3 linked regions of the Ovis aries genome follow. The protein of the gene in region 2 purifies or fractionates together with the protein of the main gene of each other region. This does not show direct contact. Links are inferred from orthologs where the notes say so. Each region holds a gene or a part of one and is shown on either strand. Other genes may lie near its edges.

The links. Proteins that work in one complex are often made in the same cells at the same time.
Region 1: the proteins of ENO1 (region 2) and TPI1 fractionate together in Homo sapiens (co-fractionation; 4 studies listed by BioGRID, with this or other methods). This does not show direct contact. The link is inferred for Ovis aries from reciprocal best matches to the Homo sapiens genes ENO1 and TPI1.
Region 3: the proteins of ENO1 (region 2) and PARK7 fractionate together in Homo sapiens (co-fractionation; 3 studies listed by BioGRID). This does not show direct contact. The link is inferred for Ovis aries from reciprocal best matches to the Homo sapiens genes ENO1 and PARK7.

The regions. Positions count from the first base shown.
Region 1 is NC_056056.1:209,419,729-209,424,450, forward strand, and holds the start of TPI1 (triosephosphate isomerase), read right to left. Parts: upstream 2,965-4,722; 5' UTR 2,961-2,964; coding exon 2,735-2,960; intron 1,607-2,734; coding exon 1,483-1,606; intron 1,368-1,482; coding exon 1,283-1,367; intron 1,204-1,282; coding exon 1,071-1,203; intron 797-1,070; coding exon 711-796; intron 327-710; coding exon 239-326; intron 108-238; coding exon 1-107. Other genes in the region: USP5 (ubiquitin carboxyl-terminal hydrolase 5), read right to left, coding at 4,468-4,561. UniProt on the Homo sapiens protein: Triosephosphate isomerase is an extremely efficient metabolic enzyme that catalyzes the interconversion between dihydroxyacetone phosphate (DHAP) and D-glyceraldehyde-3-phosphate (G3P) in glycolysis and gluconeogenesis.
Region 2 is NC_056065.1:43,924,944-43,929,058, reverse strand, and holds part of ENO1 (alpha-enolase), read right to left. Parts: intron 1,526-4,115; coding exon 1,430-1,525; intron 174-1,429; coding exon 115-173; intron 1-114. UniProt on the Homo sapiens protein: Glycolytic enzyme the catalyzes the conversion of 2-phosphoglycerate to phosphoenolpyruvate. In addition to glycolysis, involved in various processes such as growth control, hypoxia tolerance and allergic responses.
Region 3 is NC_056065.1:44,774,091-44,778,811, forward strand, and holds the start of PARK7 (Parkinson disease protein 7), read right to left. Parts: upstream 2,965-4,721; 5' UTR 2,891-2,964; intron 2,035-2,890; 5' UTR 1,966-2,034; coding exon 1,876-1,965; intron 298-1,875; coding exon 196-297; intron 1-195. UniProt on the Homo sapiens protein: Multifunctional protein with controversial molecular function which plays an important role in cell protection against oxidative stress and cell death acting as oxidative stress sensor and redox-sensitive chaperone and protease.

The sequences.
Region 1 (4,722 bases), on a different chromosome or scaffold from region 2:
ATTGATGATGTCGACGAACTCAGGCTTGAGGGAAGCACCGCCCACAAGGAAGCCATCCACATCAGGCTGGCTTGCCAGCTCCTTGCAGGTTGCCCCCGTCACAGAACCTGGGAAGGGAGACAAGAGCAGGACTGGTCAGCGATGAGATGGGGGTACTCCACGCCGGCCTCCAGGTTGAAGGAGGGCTCGGTCTGGTTCTCAGCCCACCCCACCTCAGGCTGGAGCCAAACCCACTTACCCCCATAAATGATGCGGGCGCTCTGAGCCACTGCATCAGAGACGTTGGACTTAAGCCATCCCCGGAGCTTTTCGTGTACTTCCTGGGCCTAGAACAAGAAGTCAGACTAAGACCTCCATTCACTGGGGAAAAAACACTGGGCTCCAGTGGAGACAGGCAATGTGGTTTGCAGGCAAGAACCCTGGGGCTTCGATCCCACCCAGGCCCTGGAATGAGTATCCTGGGACAAGTAACTCTCTTTTCTCCTTTTATTATTTATTTAGTCTTCACGTGTAGCATGCAGGATTGACATGTAGCATTCGAGATCTTAGTTCCCTGACTAGGGTCAAACCAGTGCCCCCTGCAGCGGAGGCTTAACCTCCAGGGAAGTCCCTCTCCTGTCTTTTAAATGGGTTGGCCCAGGTGGTCGCTGTGGCCATCCAGTTCTATCAAGACAGGGGAGGATGAGGACAGGGCTCCTGGGCTTGGTTACCTGTTGGGGTGTCGCCGTCTTGCCAGTACCAATGGCCCACACAGGCTCATAGGCCAAGACAACCTTGCTCCAATCCTTCACGTTATCTGTGGGACAGAGATCACAGGTGGCAGGGTGAAAACAAGGAAGAACATAACCAGTTGTTTCCTAGAGAATAAGAGTGCTGGTGGCCTACTGCCCCCTGGTGGCTACTATGGGAAAGTGACATTAGAGGCAGGAGTAGAAGTAATAGGAAGGATACAGGATTCCCACCCTCCCCTTTCCTGCATCAGCACCAGACAGGCTCAGGCTGCAGGGCATCCGACCCCACCCTCTGCGTCTCATAGCCCTGGGCTCAAAGGCCCCTTTCTCCAGAGATACCTGCGATGACCTTGGTTTGCTCGAAAACGACCTTCTCAGTGATGCCAGCTTCCCTCTCATCTAACTTCTCCCCAATGCAGGCGATCACTCCAAGTCCCTCTGCCAGGGCATGGGCCACTTTCTGCCCAATCAGCTGTTGAGGAACAGACTTGGTGAGCACCCGTCTAGGAACAAGCCAGCCCTCATCTCCTCCCCCCTCCCCCGTTACTAACCTCATCTGACTCCCCAAAGACATGCCTTCTCTCAGAGTGCCCCAGGACTACCCACGTGGCTCCAAGATCTTTGATCATGCCAGGGCTAAAGGAAGAGAAAAGCCGTGGTTCAGCAAGGAGCCCACCCTGTCGCTGTCCCCTCCATAAGGACAGTGAGGGCTGGGGGTCCCCCTCCCACCCCTCTGCCACTAGCATCTTACCTGATCTCCCCTGTAAAGGCCCCATTGGCCACTTTGTAACAGTTCTGCGCAGCCACGGCAATCTTGGGATCTAGCTTCTGCCGAGCGAAGTCAATGTAGGCGGTGGGGGGTGCGCAAACTACCTCTGAGGATGAGATGGTGACAGACAGGATGAGATCACAAGGAAATCTTCATTCACCAGACCCCATCCCGTGCTCCAGAGTCCCTTCGCCTTCACCACTTTCTTAGTTCTGCTTTTGCGCTTTTTCACCCCAGCACGATCATCTCTGTCCACTTTGCAGCCCAGGCTGGGCCTGTACCCAAGTCTTTGAGCCTCCCAGGTAGCCCTGAGAGGCCATGGCCCTTGCCCTGCCCTCTGCTCTTTAGCAGCTGTGGCTCTGATTTCCCCAGGCTATTCTGGGCCTGGGCACCTCTTAGACTCAGCATTCTCTGGGGGCCAACCCCGCCTCCCTTCTAAAATAGCCCATCCCCACCTCCCCCAGGCCAGGCCAGGATTTTCAGCAAAAGCAGAAGGAGCCAACTCCTGGGGTTTTTACTAAGGTCTTTGGGAGAATAAACCACAAGGGGATGCCTCTTGATCAGCCCCGAGGTTCTGTGACTTAGGTGGGTGAGGGGACAAGGACGCAGGCCGTGGGTAGCAGCGAGTCGACCAGCTCCTAGAGGCCTTGCGCTTTCCCGTTTTTAGGCTGGAGATAACGGTAGGAGCGCGCCTCATTCCCAAATGGCTCTACCCCTTTCCACGGAAGGCCGGAGTCCTACAGGCCGCCGAGCGGGCTGAATCGGAGCGATAGCTCAGGAGGCTGACGCGGCTCGGTAGGGGAACTCTGCCGACCCGGCAAGGCGCGGGGAGGAGTCTCCGGCGGGCTACGTGCGGCGGCGCACGGAGCCCGCGCCCAGGGGGCAGCCGGAGCCGTCAGGCAGCCTCCACCCCCACGCACCGGGCAGCCGCTGGCCTCTCCCGATCGCCCGCAGGGGCTGGGCTCACCTTTCAGTCCCAGCCGGTGCAGGCCCCGTCTGCGCCCCGGGGCCACCCTCCTCCCCAGGACCCACAGCCAGAGGGCACCGTGAGATGCGGCCCCGCCTTTCCCCGCCGAAACACCCCCGCTTCAGCGGCCGCGGAGCTCAGGCCCAGATCCCGACAGTCCTGGACCCCAGCCCTGCACGCAGGGCCACGCGGACCCGGGCTAAGAGAGTTCCGGAGAGGGCGACCACGCCCGACTGCCCACCCCAGTCCTCCCCGGCCAGGGCTCACCGGTGTCGGCCGGCACCTTGGCCGCGTTCAGAGTGTTGATGAGTTCCCCCAGATTGTTCTTCCTCCCGTTCATCTTCCAGTTCCCCCCAACGAAGAACTTCCTGGAGGGCGCCATGGCTAAGGAGCAGGCACGCTGAAGGTCAGGAGCAGCGCGCCCCCGCTTCCACTGGCCGCTTATATAGAGCGCGGAGATGCAGAAACCCGCCCCCTCTGCGTCCTCGTCCATGGCTGGCCCGGTCCGCGGGAGCCCTGCCCCCGGCCCCGCCCGCCGCCCGCCGCAGCCCTGCCCCGGATCCCGCCCGCCGCCGGCGTTGCGAGGTTCTGACGTTACCCCCTTTCTTGTAGCAACGTTCCACGGCCGTCGCGGGCTCGCTTGGGTCGCTTTCAGCTTGAATTGCCTTACTTTGGGGAGAAGGCGCGAACTGTGCGCCCCGCGCTCAGAACCCCCGCTTCACGGTTTCAGCCCCCCACCCCGCAGAGGGCTAGAAGGATCCCCAGGGGCGCTCGCTGGCTGGCTGAAGGCCTGGACACTCCACTCCACTCCAAGGCTTGGCCTCAGAGCCGTGAGGGGCATCTTTCCAACTCCGGGAGAAGGAACCCCCCCCTGCCCCCATCGGAGCGGCCACATCCCTGACTGCTGAGCAGGCACCTTTGACCTACCCAGGGCCGGCCCAGCCCCACAGTTAACTGGGCAAGTAACAGGGTTCACAGGCGGAGGGACGACCCACGTGGGCTGGACACCGCGCAGCGACTAAAGAGGCAGTTCAGAGGTCTGCCTTGCCCCTAGGAGTACCTCACTTTTTGCTCCAGCGGCCAGGGCCAGACAAGGGACTGCAAGGCCTGGTGCCCAGGGCTCCCCACTGGGCACCTGGGGACACTCGAGAAGAACCCACTTGGGCCCCCTCTCACGTGGCCCTCCTCCATGTCCCTGCATCTGACAGCCCCCACCCCTCAGGCTCCCCCTCCTGCCCCTGTGAGCACCTCACTCAGCCCCCAATTTCCCAAGAGCAGTAAAAAGTATAGAACTGCCTACCAGGGGGGCAGGCAGGGGGCGCAGAGTGGCATGGAGGAGCAGGGCCCGCAGTTCTCAAAACCTGACCCTCCTGCTAACCCAGGAAAGACAGTCTCCCCCGAGATATCAAACAGGACACGCTTGAGCCACTGTACTTTTATTCACATCCTGTATTTTGGCATTTTCCAGAGTAGGACAGGGAGAGACAGGGTGGGGCAAAGACTGAGGCGGGAGGGCGAGGGGGGCTGGCTCCCATTTCCCTCACATCCCTCCTGGCCCCGCCACACGGGGAGCACACACAAAGGGGCAGGGGAGGCACAGAAACCCCCTTGGTGGAGGAGGCGGCACAAAGCTACACCCACGCCACACACACACACACACACACGCCCACCCACACCCACGCACACACACGAACAAGCCCGCTCCACACCGGGCAGGCGGGATCACAGAGAAGCAGAGCACTGTGGGGTCAAGGGCAGGGAAGCAACAGTCTCCTCACAGACAGGCGGCCGGCCCCTCCAGCCCCCTCCGACTCCATTCCCAAGGTCTCCCCGGAGCCCCCCCACCCCACGCTTTGCCTAGCCATTCTCTCCTGGCCTCTAGCTTCTTCCCTGCTGCTGGGGACGAAAAGAAAAGGGGTACCGAGCAGGGAGGCGTCCATCCCTCAGCCCCGTTCCTCATGCTGGGCAGTCTGTCCCCGGGGCGCCCTCAGGGCAGGCTCTTAGCTGGCCACTCTCTGATAGAAGTAGATGTAGCCTAGGTCCTTGGGCGGTTTCTCAGAGGCACACACTTTCTGGTCGTTGTAGATCACCCACCTGGGGAAGGGGGTGGGGAAAAGGGTGAACGACCCAGGCATCCTCTAGTGTGTCTCTCTGATGTGGTCCCTGGACTCGACCCTGGTGGTTCGGGGGCAAAGGCTCGCAACCTTCTCTGCCTGGGCCCCCAAACTCAGCCCAGCTGCCTCCTATCTGAAGGG
Region 2 (4,115 bases):
GGCTTCTTTAGCTCTCAGAATAAGCTCTTCTGTAAACAGGGAAGCCCCCCGGCCTGGACTGGGCGGCGCTCTGATAGCATTAATATACATTAGTCATCAGGAGGCAGGTCCTACCTTGCTAACCAGGGCAGGCGCAATAGTTTTATTGATGTGCTCAACAGCCTTTGAGACACCTAGAAGGAATAATCAAATCAAATTACCGACGCTGATGAGAGAGGCTTGAGCAGCACTGCTGGAGAACCGCTCACCATATTCACCCAGATATTCAGAGCCCACCAGAGACCTTCAACGGGACCCCTGGCTCTCTCCCCCTGGAATCGGAGGGCTTTCTGGCCCAGTCTGAGTGCTCTTACCTAGGACCCCCAGGAGTTAGAGCCACACACAGAGCCGCCAAACAGTGTCTGAAGGGAGGTTAGTTGGCAAGAGCATGCACGGGACAGGCCAGCCGCAGAGGCTAAAGGACGCCCCGTGTATTACCTGTGTGCACAAGGCTGGTGCCAGGAACTCGTTAATATACTTAACGGGTCTGGAGACACCTGACCAGCAGAGATTGACAGAGAAGGAAAAAAGAAAGACTCAGAAGAGAACAGGTTTGTGAAGGACGCTGAGTGAGAGAAAGAGGAAACAGGAAGGTGTGGAGAAGGCGGGGGGACCATGCATTCGTCCTCATCATAACTGGGGTGGGGCGTGGTCCTCCTGCCCTGGGCAGGCGTCTACCTGGGCTGCCAGCGAGACCCCTCAGGAGAGCTCTTTACAGACGCTGCCGCCTGCAGTGGAGCCGCTCTGACCCTGGCCCTGTGTCCCCCTCAACCTGACCTCGTTCGCTGTTGCCCTTCCAATGCAGTGTCCCTAGACTATTTTCCTCCGCTCCCTCCCCTGGAAAGTTGGCAGCCCACTCGTGCCCTCCACCTCCTTACAGGGTGGCCCTTGGGAGGGCCACGACCCATGACACAGCCTGTGCTCCTGCCTTCTCTCCAGAACCGATTCCCATCCCTGGGGTGACACCACTCCGTGGAGAATGCAGTCCAGCCCCATCTGCCTTTCTGCGACCTGGCCTCTGGGGTTTGGGGTTCTATCTGCAGAAAGGTGAACATGGGCACAGGACCACCAGAGGCCGGCTCTGTTAGAGAGACAACGACTGCTCTATCCATCACGAGTCGGCAGCCTCCAACCCCTGAGACCACACCTCGGGAAGAGGCCCGCCGGCTGGGAAGGCCCTCAGAGCCCTCCTGGAGGATGAGAGGCTTCTCCTGAGCACTAGCTAACGTGTCTTCTTCTCCCTCGTTCCCTGGCCCAACCAGGAGTTCTTCACGACTGGAGACAAATCGCAGGAGAAAGAAGAGTGAAACTTTTTGCCTGCCCTGGGTTACAGGCTCAGGGGCCCTGGCATCCATCAGCCAGCGCCGAGCTGGCCTGGGTCTGTGCTCACCTTTCCCCATGTAGCGCGTCTTATCATTGTCTCGGAGCTCCAGGGCCTCATAGATTCCAGTTGAGGCACCACTGGGCACAGCAGCTCTGAAGAGACCTGGATGTTGAGAAAGGGAAGGGGGAAAATGTTTACTAATGATTAGGCAATAGCTCCCAGATCCCTCCCGGCACAGAGGGCATCGGCCCTCCGGAAATGGTCACTTCCTCCCAACATCGGGGAGACTCAGATGGCTGTTCCTCCTGCCTCCCGTGGTTTTATGACTTTATACCGAAGACCCTACAGCAGAGCTGATGAATCTCTCTAGTTTAAAGAGAAAGGTCCGGAGCAGAGCTTCTCCAGTTTTAACATGCGCACACAGCACCTGTGGGTTAAAATGCAGCTCCTGAGGCATGACAGGACATTTGAGTCTGCATCTCTGAAACCTCCCAGGTGGTGCCCTGCCGCTGGCCCATGGACCACACCCAGCCACACAGTCCAACAGAAGCACCATGAATCCACTTGCGGGATTTGTCATGTTCTAGGAGCTAGTAACCCATGGAAACACCAAGCTATTTTAGACAGTCCTGCTAGAGAGCACTGTTGCTAAGCTTCCCTTAGACAACTGAGATCACGTTGCTAGCTTTCAAGTTTGGAAGGCGATGGCTCAAGAGGAATCTCTACAGCTCATGTGCCTCTGCTCAGGCAGCAGTGAATGCTATTTGGAGGTTCTCTGCCTAACAGGACAGGCTGGAAGAGAAAAGGAATAAGGACAACAAAGGCGCAGAGTTAATGACACTAGAACCCAATCACAGTCCCGCAGATACAGAAACCGGCCGCCTGGCTAAGCCTAGACTATGGAGCAGAAAGTGGCAGCTGTCCTTGGAGGACAGACGGGGTCAGGAAAGGTACTGCAGAGATCCGGTTACATGGGGCAGACAGGGTTAGGGGAGCAGGAAGTGCAGGCAGCCTTCTTGAAACTATCAGGGATTTCCCCTCTGAGAACTGGCGAGTGCAGGGATGTGAGGGCAACTCAAGAGGAAAAAACCAACCAAGTATCTCAGTAACACTTGGTTACATGCTTGGGTCACCACACGACTATGTGAGCAGCAGGCCACATGTTCTTTGTATCCAGCCCCTGGCTTTCTCTGTATCCATCAGCTCTGGATGAGGTGAAGACGCGATGGAAGTAAGAGTGACTCTAAGGTCAGCTATGGACTTTGGCTGATAACAAGTCAATACAGGCTTGACTCTAACAAAGGTTAGTCTAGGCGAAGAAGGTCAACTATGGATTTTGGGTGTTAACGTATCAATGCAGGTTTGACTCTAACTACTGCTCAGCTTAGAGTGTTGATGGTGGGGATGGGGGATAGATGAGAACACTCTACTTTCCACTTGATTTTGCTGTGAACCTAAAACTGGCCTAAAAAATAAATTCTAAGAAAGAAAGAAGTGATGAAAGGTTCTTAACAAATTTATGATTTCCTGGCTTTTTTTTTCTTTCTGAAAAGGATTAAGACACATAAGAGAAAGTTCCATTCATTTAAATGTTAAAAGACATTAATTTTAGTCATTTTAAAGAATTTCAAAGAAAATGCCTCCTTTTCAACAATCTTCTAGCATCCTGGGTCTTTTTTCGTTGTTCAAAGTCCATTAATTTCCAAGTGGAAAGTTCCACTCTCTAAGTGAGCCATTCTCATAAACTGAAAGGAAATTCTTGCAATCTTTGGAGAATCCACAAGGCACATGCCCAGAAGCAATGGTGTTCTCATGGCAACCCCCACCGTAACCACAGGTAGACTTCTGCTGGATGAATCTACACTTGAGGGGCCTTCACTTTCTGGGCAAGGGGGAAGGCAGGACAGGAAGGGATGGGCTGGAGGTTCCTCTGCCAGGCCTGTGATTCAGACCATGACTCAGCTCTGACTGGCAGGTCTGTGCTCGGCACCACTCGGTGCCTCTCTGCCTGAAGCTCCCTTTCCAACTTCACGCACTTGGGCCATTCAGAAAATGGCTGAGATGTTGCTAGAGGTAACACAAGGGGTAGGGAAGCACCAGATTTTCTTAAATTAAAAAAAGATTAAGGAGGGGATATTTTAAGGGGGTCCCATTCTATCCTTTTCAAATGTGGGCAAATTCTTCCTATGTGGACTTAGAGCCAGGTAAAAATACCAGCCTCTGGAATGTCCCAACATAGAGCGCTACATATACCCTTGCTGCTAAGTCGCTTCAGTCATGTCCAACTCTGTGTGACCCCATAGATGGCAGCCCACCAGGCTCCTGTGTCCCTGGGATTCTCCAGGCAAGAATATTGGAGTGGGTTGCCATGTCCTTCTCCAATGCATAAAGTGAAAAGTGAAAGTGAAGTTGCTCAGTTGTGTCCGACTCTTAGCGACCCCATGGACTGCAGCCTACCAGGCTCTCCCTCCATGGGATTTTCCAGACAAGAGTACTGGAGTTGGCTGCCATTGCCTTAATCTCTTTCCTTTTCAAGGAAGATCCATCCTATCACACCGTACCTACTTATTTGGTCACAACAAGCTGTGAGTGACGGGCCCTTTTAGGGACAAGGTATCACCTTACCTCCCTATCTCAGTGACCTGGGAACTGACCTGCATCCTGCTCTAAATACCAAGAAGCACAAGGGACTCTTGCCTCCCAACCTCGGAGCACAGCCTACCAACATGTGCAGATCAGAAAGAAAGGCTTT
Region 3 (4,721 bases), about 850 kb from region 2:
TTCTGAGGATACAGAGTGGAAAAAGGCAAAGTTCTCCAATTCCCAGGGCTTAATTTAGTGCTGAAGACCTCCAAGCAAAGTAACTTTCTTAAAACAAGGCTGTGCTAATTACAGTTTCAGATGTAGTTAAGACAGAGTTCAAGAAACTGATAAAGAAGCAGTAAGAAGGAACGATCCCAAGTCTAGAGAACAAACCTCTTTTCTTGCATCTTCCAGACTGGCGTCAGGACAAATGACAACATCTCGGCTACACTGTACCGGGTCTTTTCCAGCCAGACCTGCGACGGTGACCTTAATCTAAGAGAAAGACGTCATCATGATATTTAAGAACACTGAACATAAATTTAGAGTAACATTTTCACAGCTGGCCTGTGTTTTAAAATAACCTGGCAAGAAATACTGCAACAAAACCATGCTGACTTTAGGTTATTAAGTTGGCTAAATATTATTTAACCACTAGATCTGTCCCAGTTTGTCTGACAGTATGAATTAAAGATGCTGTCCCAGTACCCCATCTGCTTAGCCTCCTTTCTTCCACAAGTGTTCTTGTCTGTGTGATAAATCATATGATCATCCTACCGATAAAACAGCTTGCAAAGTTGCTGTTGCCATTTAACCCTCCTGGTATTTTCATAAGGTAGAAATGCAAGTTAAGACAATGAAATACTACTCTGCTGCCCTGCAAAAATTCACAAAGTTGACAATACTGAGAATAGGAATTTTCCTCACTGCTGGTGGGCCCACATATCAGTACTTTGGAGAGTCACTTGACAAAATCTAGTAACATCATATATGCAAGTAGTAATTCCTTTTAGGCTCAGAGCCTAGAAAAACTTTCATATCTTTAAACAAGAAAAACCTGCACAAGAATATTACAAATGTTCAGCTATAAGATAAGTAAGCATTAGAAACTAATGTACAACAGGATAGGTACAATTAATACTGTTGTGTGTAATATGCAAAAGTTTTTAAGAGTAATTCCTAAGAGTTCTCATCATAGGAAAAAATATTTTTCTTCTACTTCTTTACTTTCGTATTGATACAAGATGACGGATATTCACTAAACTTATTGTGGTCATCATTTCATGATAGATTTAAGTATGCTGTACACCTTAAACTTACACAATGCTATATGTTGATTATATCTCAATAAAACCAGAACGACCAAAAAAAAAAAAAAAGAGTATTACAGCACTATAATGCTGTAAAACAATGCAATAGAGGAATGGAGACTGGGCATATTCCCATAGTGCAATACTAAGCAGCAATTTTAAATAAACTGCATCTATATTCTTTACTAGAATGTGACTAGTTCACTTATTTAAATATTTGATTCACTGACTGACTGCTTCTCCGCCTGTTTCTTCAACTGTAACATGAGGTTGGCAATAACTCTTAGGATGGTTTTAAGGTTTTAAAAACTAGTATAAGTGCTTAGAATGGCATCCACCATTCCGTCAAGGCTACGTAAGCATTCACTATGGTTATGTGGGCGTATAAAGGTTCATAATGCGGATATGCAGAGTGAGAACCACAGTCTAATGTTACTTTAGACACGCTTGGGCTGGATTCACATCACTGTGAGGAAAGCAGTTATTTCTGGGGCCAGAAAGGGAATTGAATTAGGGAAATAAAGAGAGCTTTGCAATGTTTATTCCTCTAAAGCATCTGTATCTTCAAGAAACAGGTCTGAAAGAAATACAGTAAAATGTTAACAATATTAAACTGCAGATAATTATTACACAGCCTCTGTACTGTTGCGTATGTTTGAAATATTTCAGAAAGTACATTCAACACTACTTTATCCAAAATTACTTATAAGAATCCAAAAATGCTTTCAAACAGAGGAGGGCTAAAAAACTTTGAGGGACTTACTCCAGCTCGTCTCATGACATCTACAGGGATAACTGTCTCCATTTCCTCGGCTCCTTTAGCCAGGATGACCAGAGCTCTTTTTGAAGCCATTTTTATGTTGTATTTATTAAAGACTCAAAACAAGATTTTCAAGAAACTTTCACTGCAAGTGTACAAGACCTAAAAACAAGATTAAGGAACACTGTTAAGCAGAGTAACCAAGTGCTTCCCAGGGAAAAGATTTTGATAGGCAAACACAATAAAACAGCATTATTTGGTTAATACTGACTTAAACAGAATTTCAGTTCCTGTTTTTTGAGATGACATCACAGCAAGATTGCCAGCACGTTGGTTACTGTTCAGATTTCATCACGTTTATAAAAATCTAATTTCTAATATATTGTAAATGAAGCTTTCCAAGAGGGAGAGAGAAATACAAAACCACCTTTTTTCAAGTACTATTTTACAGAGAAGACTGAACTTCATGGATAAAAAAAGAAATACTGTCTTTAGCAATCACCCCGAGATTTTTGGAGGGGATTTTATTTTTTAGTTCCAGTAACTGCACTTAATTCTCGGGGGCGGTTAACAGTGTTACATATTTGAACACGCTTAAAAAAAAAGAAAAACGGAGAAAAATGGTAATTCCCCCATGCTACACTCAATCCTGATAGATTCTTCGCACTTAGCTCTCGTTGTAAACGACGGCCGCTATGCCGGGGTCTGAATTGCTGTTAGCCTATTTTTCTGGACTTTGTTTCGCATGCAACACAGATTTTAGTAAACGATGTCAAAAAAACAAGATTAACTAGCTCCAAGCTGGTGCGATGTTATGCAGGCAAATTCTAGAAGCTTCAGCGTTGCTACTATGCTGGCGAGCGAACGGCGCCCTCTGCGAACCCTGGGAGACCGCATCCTCCTCAGACGCGGCTAGACACAGGCCGGGTCCGCCCCGGTTCGGGGACCCTCTAGGGGTCCAGCGGGCGGCCCGTGCCCCCACGGCCCGAGCTTGCGCTGCGCTCCCCATGGCCCAGACCTGAACCTCGCCTCTCTTCCCACAGACGGCCAGCCTCGGCCCGTTCCGTCCGCAGTTCTGCGCCGGTGACGACTGGGCCGGTACCGCACCAACCCGGGACGCAGCAAGCGCGCACGCCGGCACGCACGCGCGCTGTCAGGCTTGGTCTTCAGCCCCGCACTGCGCAGGCGCGCGCCGCCCTGCCTGGCTCCTCAGCCCCGCACTGCGCAAACCCACGTAGCTCGCCCCACGTGATGTCATATCCGGCCGAACTAACCTCGGGGGACGTGCGGTACCTCCTGCCTTTCTGCGTGTAGATTGTACGCCTAGGCCTGGTTCCATTTGGAACAAGAGAAAGCGGAATCTTCTAAACTCACGCATTCTCCCGAAATCTCCCGCATCCGAGGGACGGCCCAGCGTGCCCCCAGCGCGCGCTGAATTTAACCCGTTTTTCATGCCGCAAGCCAGACGTTTTTCGCTGTGCTCGTCTGGAGAGCTGCGTGGGCTTGCTTTAAACCCGCATTTTCACAAAATAAAATAGTTCCTTCTTGCTTCCTCTGTGTCCTAGGGGCTTTCTTTGCATTGTTCTGTTTCTTGGCGGGCGTTGTCCAGTCACCTCCGCTCTGTTATGACTCCTTAAGGTCTCCCCAATTCCTCTGTGACTGATTTGGCTAGTGGCTAATTTCACGTGTATTTGGTTCTCAAAATAGTATTTTTAGTAGAGTTTAATACTGCATCGACAGGATTTGAATAGGAGCTGAACACCGAAGTCAGGGACACTAGATTGGGTTTCAGACCACAGTTTTTTTGGTTTTCTAGTGCATCATGAAAGTTATAGAAAGTGAAAGTGAAGTCGCTCTGTCGTGTCCGACTCTGCGACCCCATGGACTGTAGCCCACCAGGCTCCTCCATCCATGGGATTCTCCAGGCAAGAATACTGGAGTGGGTTTCTCCAGGGATGAAAGTTATATGTAGCCTGTTAAAGTATGCAATAGGATTATGTCTTAATAACAGTATATGCTTTATTTTAAAAGTATTCCTTAAAAAATGCTAGCCATCAACTGAGCTGGTGAGTCCTATCTTTTTCCTGATGAAGAGTTTTGCTGGTGGAACCTGGGATATTGATGACTGACAGTATAGGGTGATGCTTGCTGAAGGTTGGGGGTGGCCGTGGCAGTTTCTTAATAAAATTTGTTACGCGGCTCTTTCGTGAAGTGATAAGGCCCACATTGCTGGTGGGGGTGGGGGTCTCATTGTTAACATGGCTCATTGTGTTGCCCTCACAAACAAAGAATAAAATCACAGTGATCCTTGAGACTGACCAAATTGCCCAAATAACATTCTGGTTTAAGACCACCAGATTCCAGACCTCCAGCTACGTGACTCCAGGACTCAACTACAGGCTAAAAGTTAACCATCCCTTCAGAAAATTTTTCATTGGTGGCGTATAAGAAAGACCCCATCAGAAAGGGAGGACAATGGTTCTCCTCAAGGGCCAGTCTACCTCTCATTTCCCTCTAATAAATTTCTCTTTTCTTGCCTGAATGCTTGGTTCGCTCTCTTTTTCTCTGCATTCGCCTTACAGGAAGGAGTCATTCTATCACGCAATACTATTTGGTAAAATTTTGCCCACAGCAAAGCTTTTTTGAAATTGGAATTCTCTCAGACCCTACTACTGCTTTGTCAGCTAAGTTTATGTCATATTATAAATCCTTTGTCGTCATTTCAATTTCACAGTATCTTCACCAGGAGTAGATTCCCACTCAAGAAATCATCGGTAAAAAGTTACACCTCATCTCATCTGAAGATAAAGTTTTATCACAAGATTGCAGCAACTGAGTCATCTTTGGAC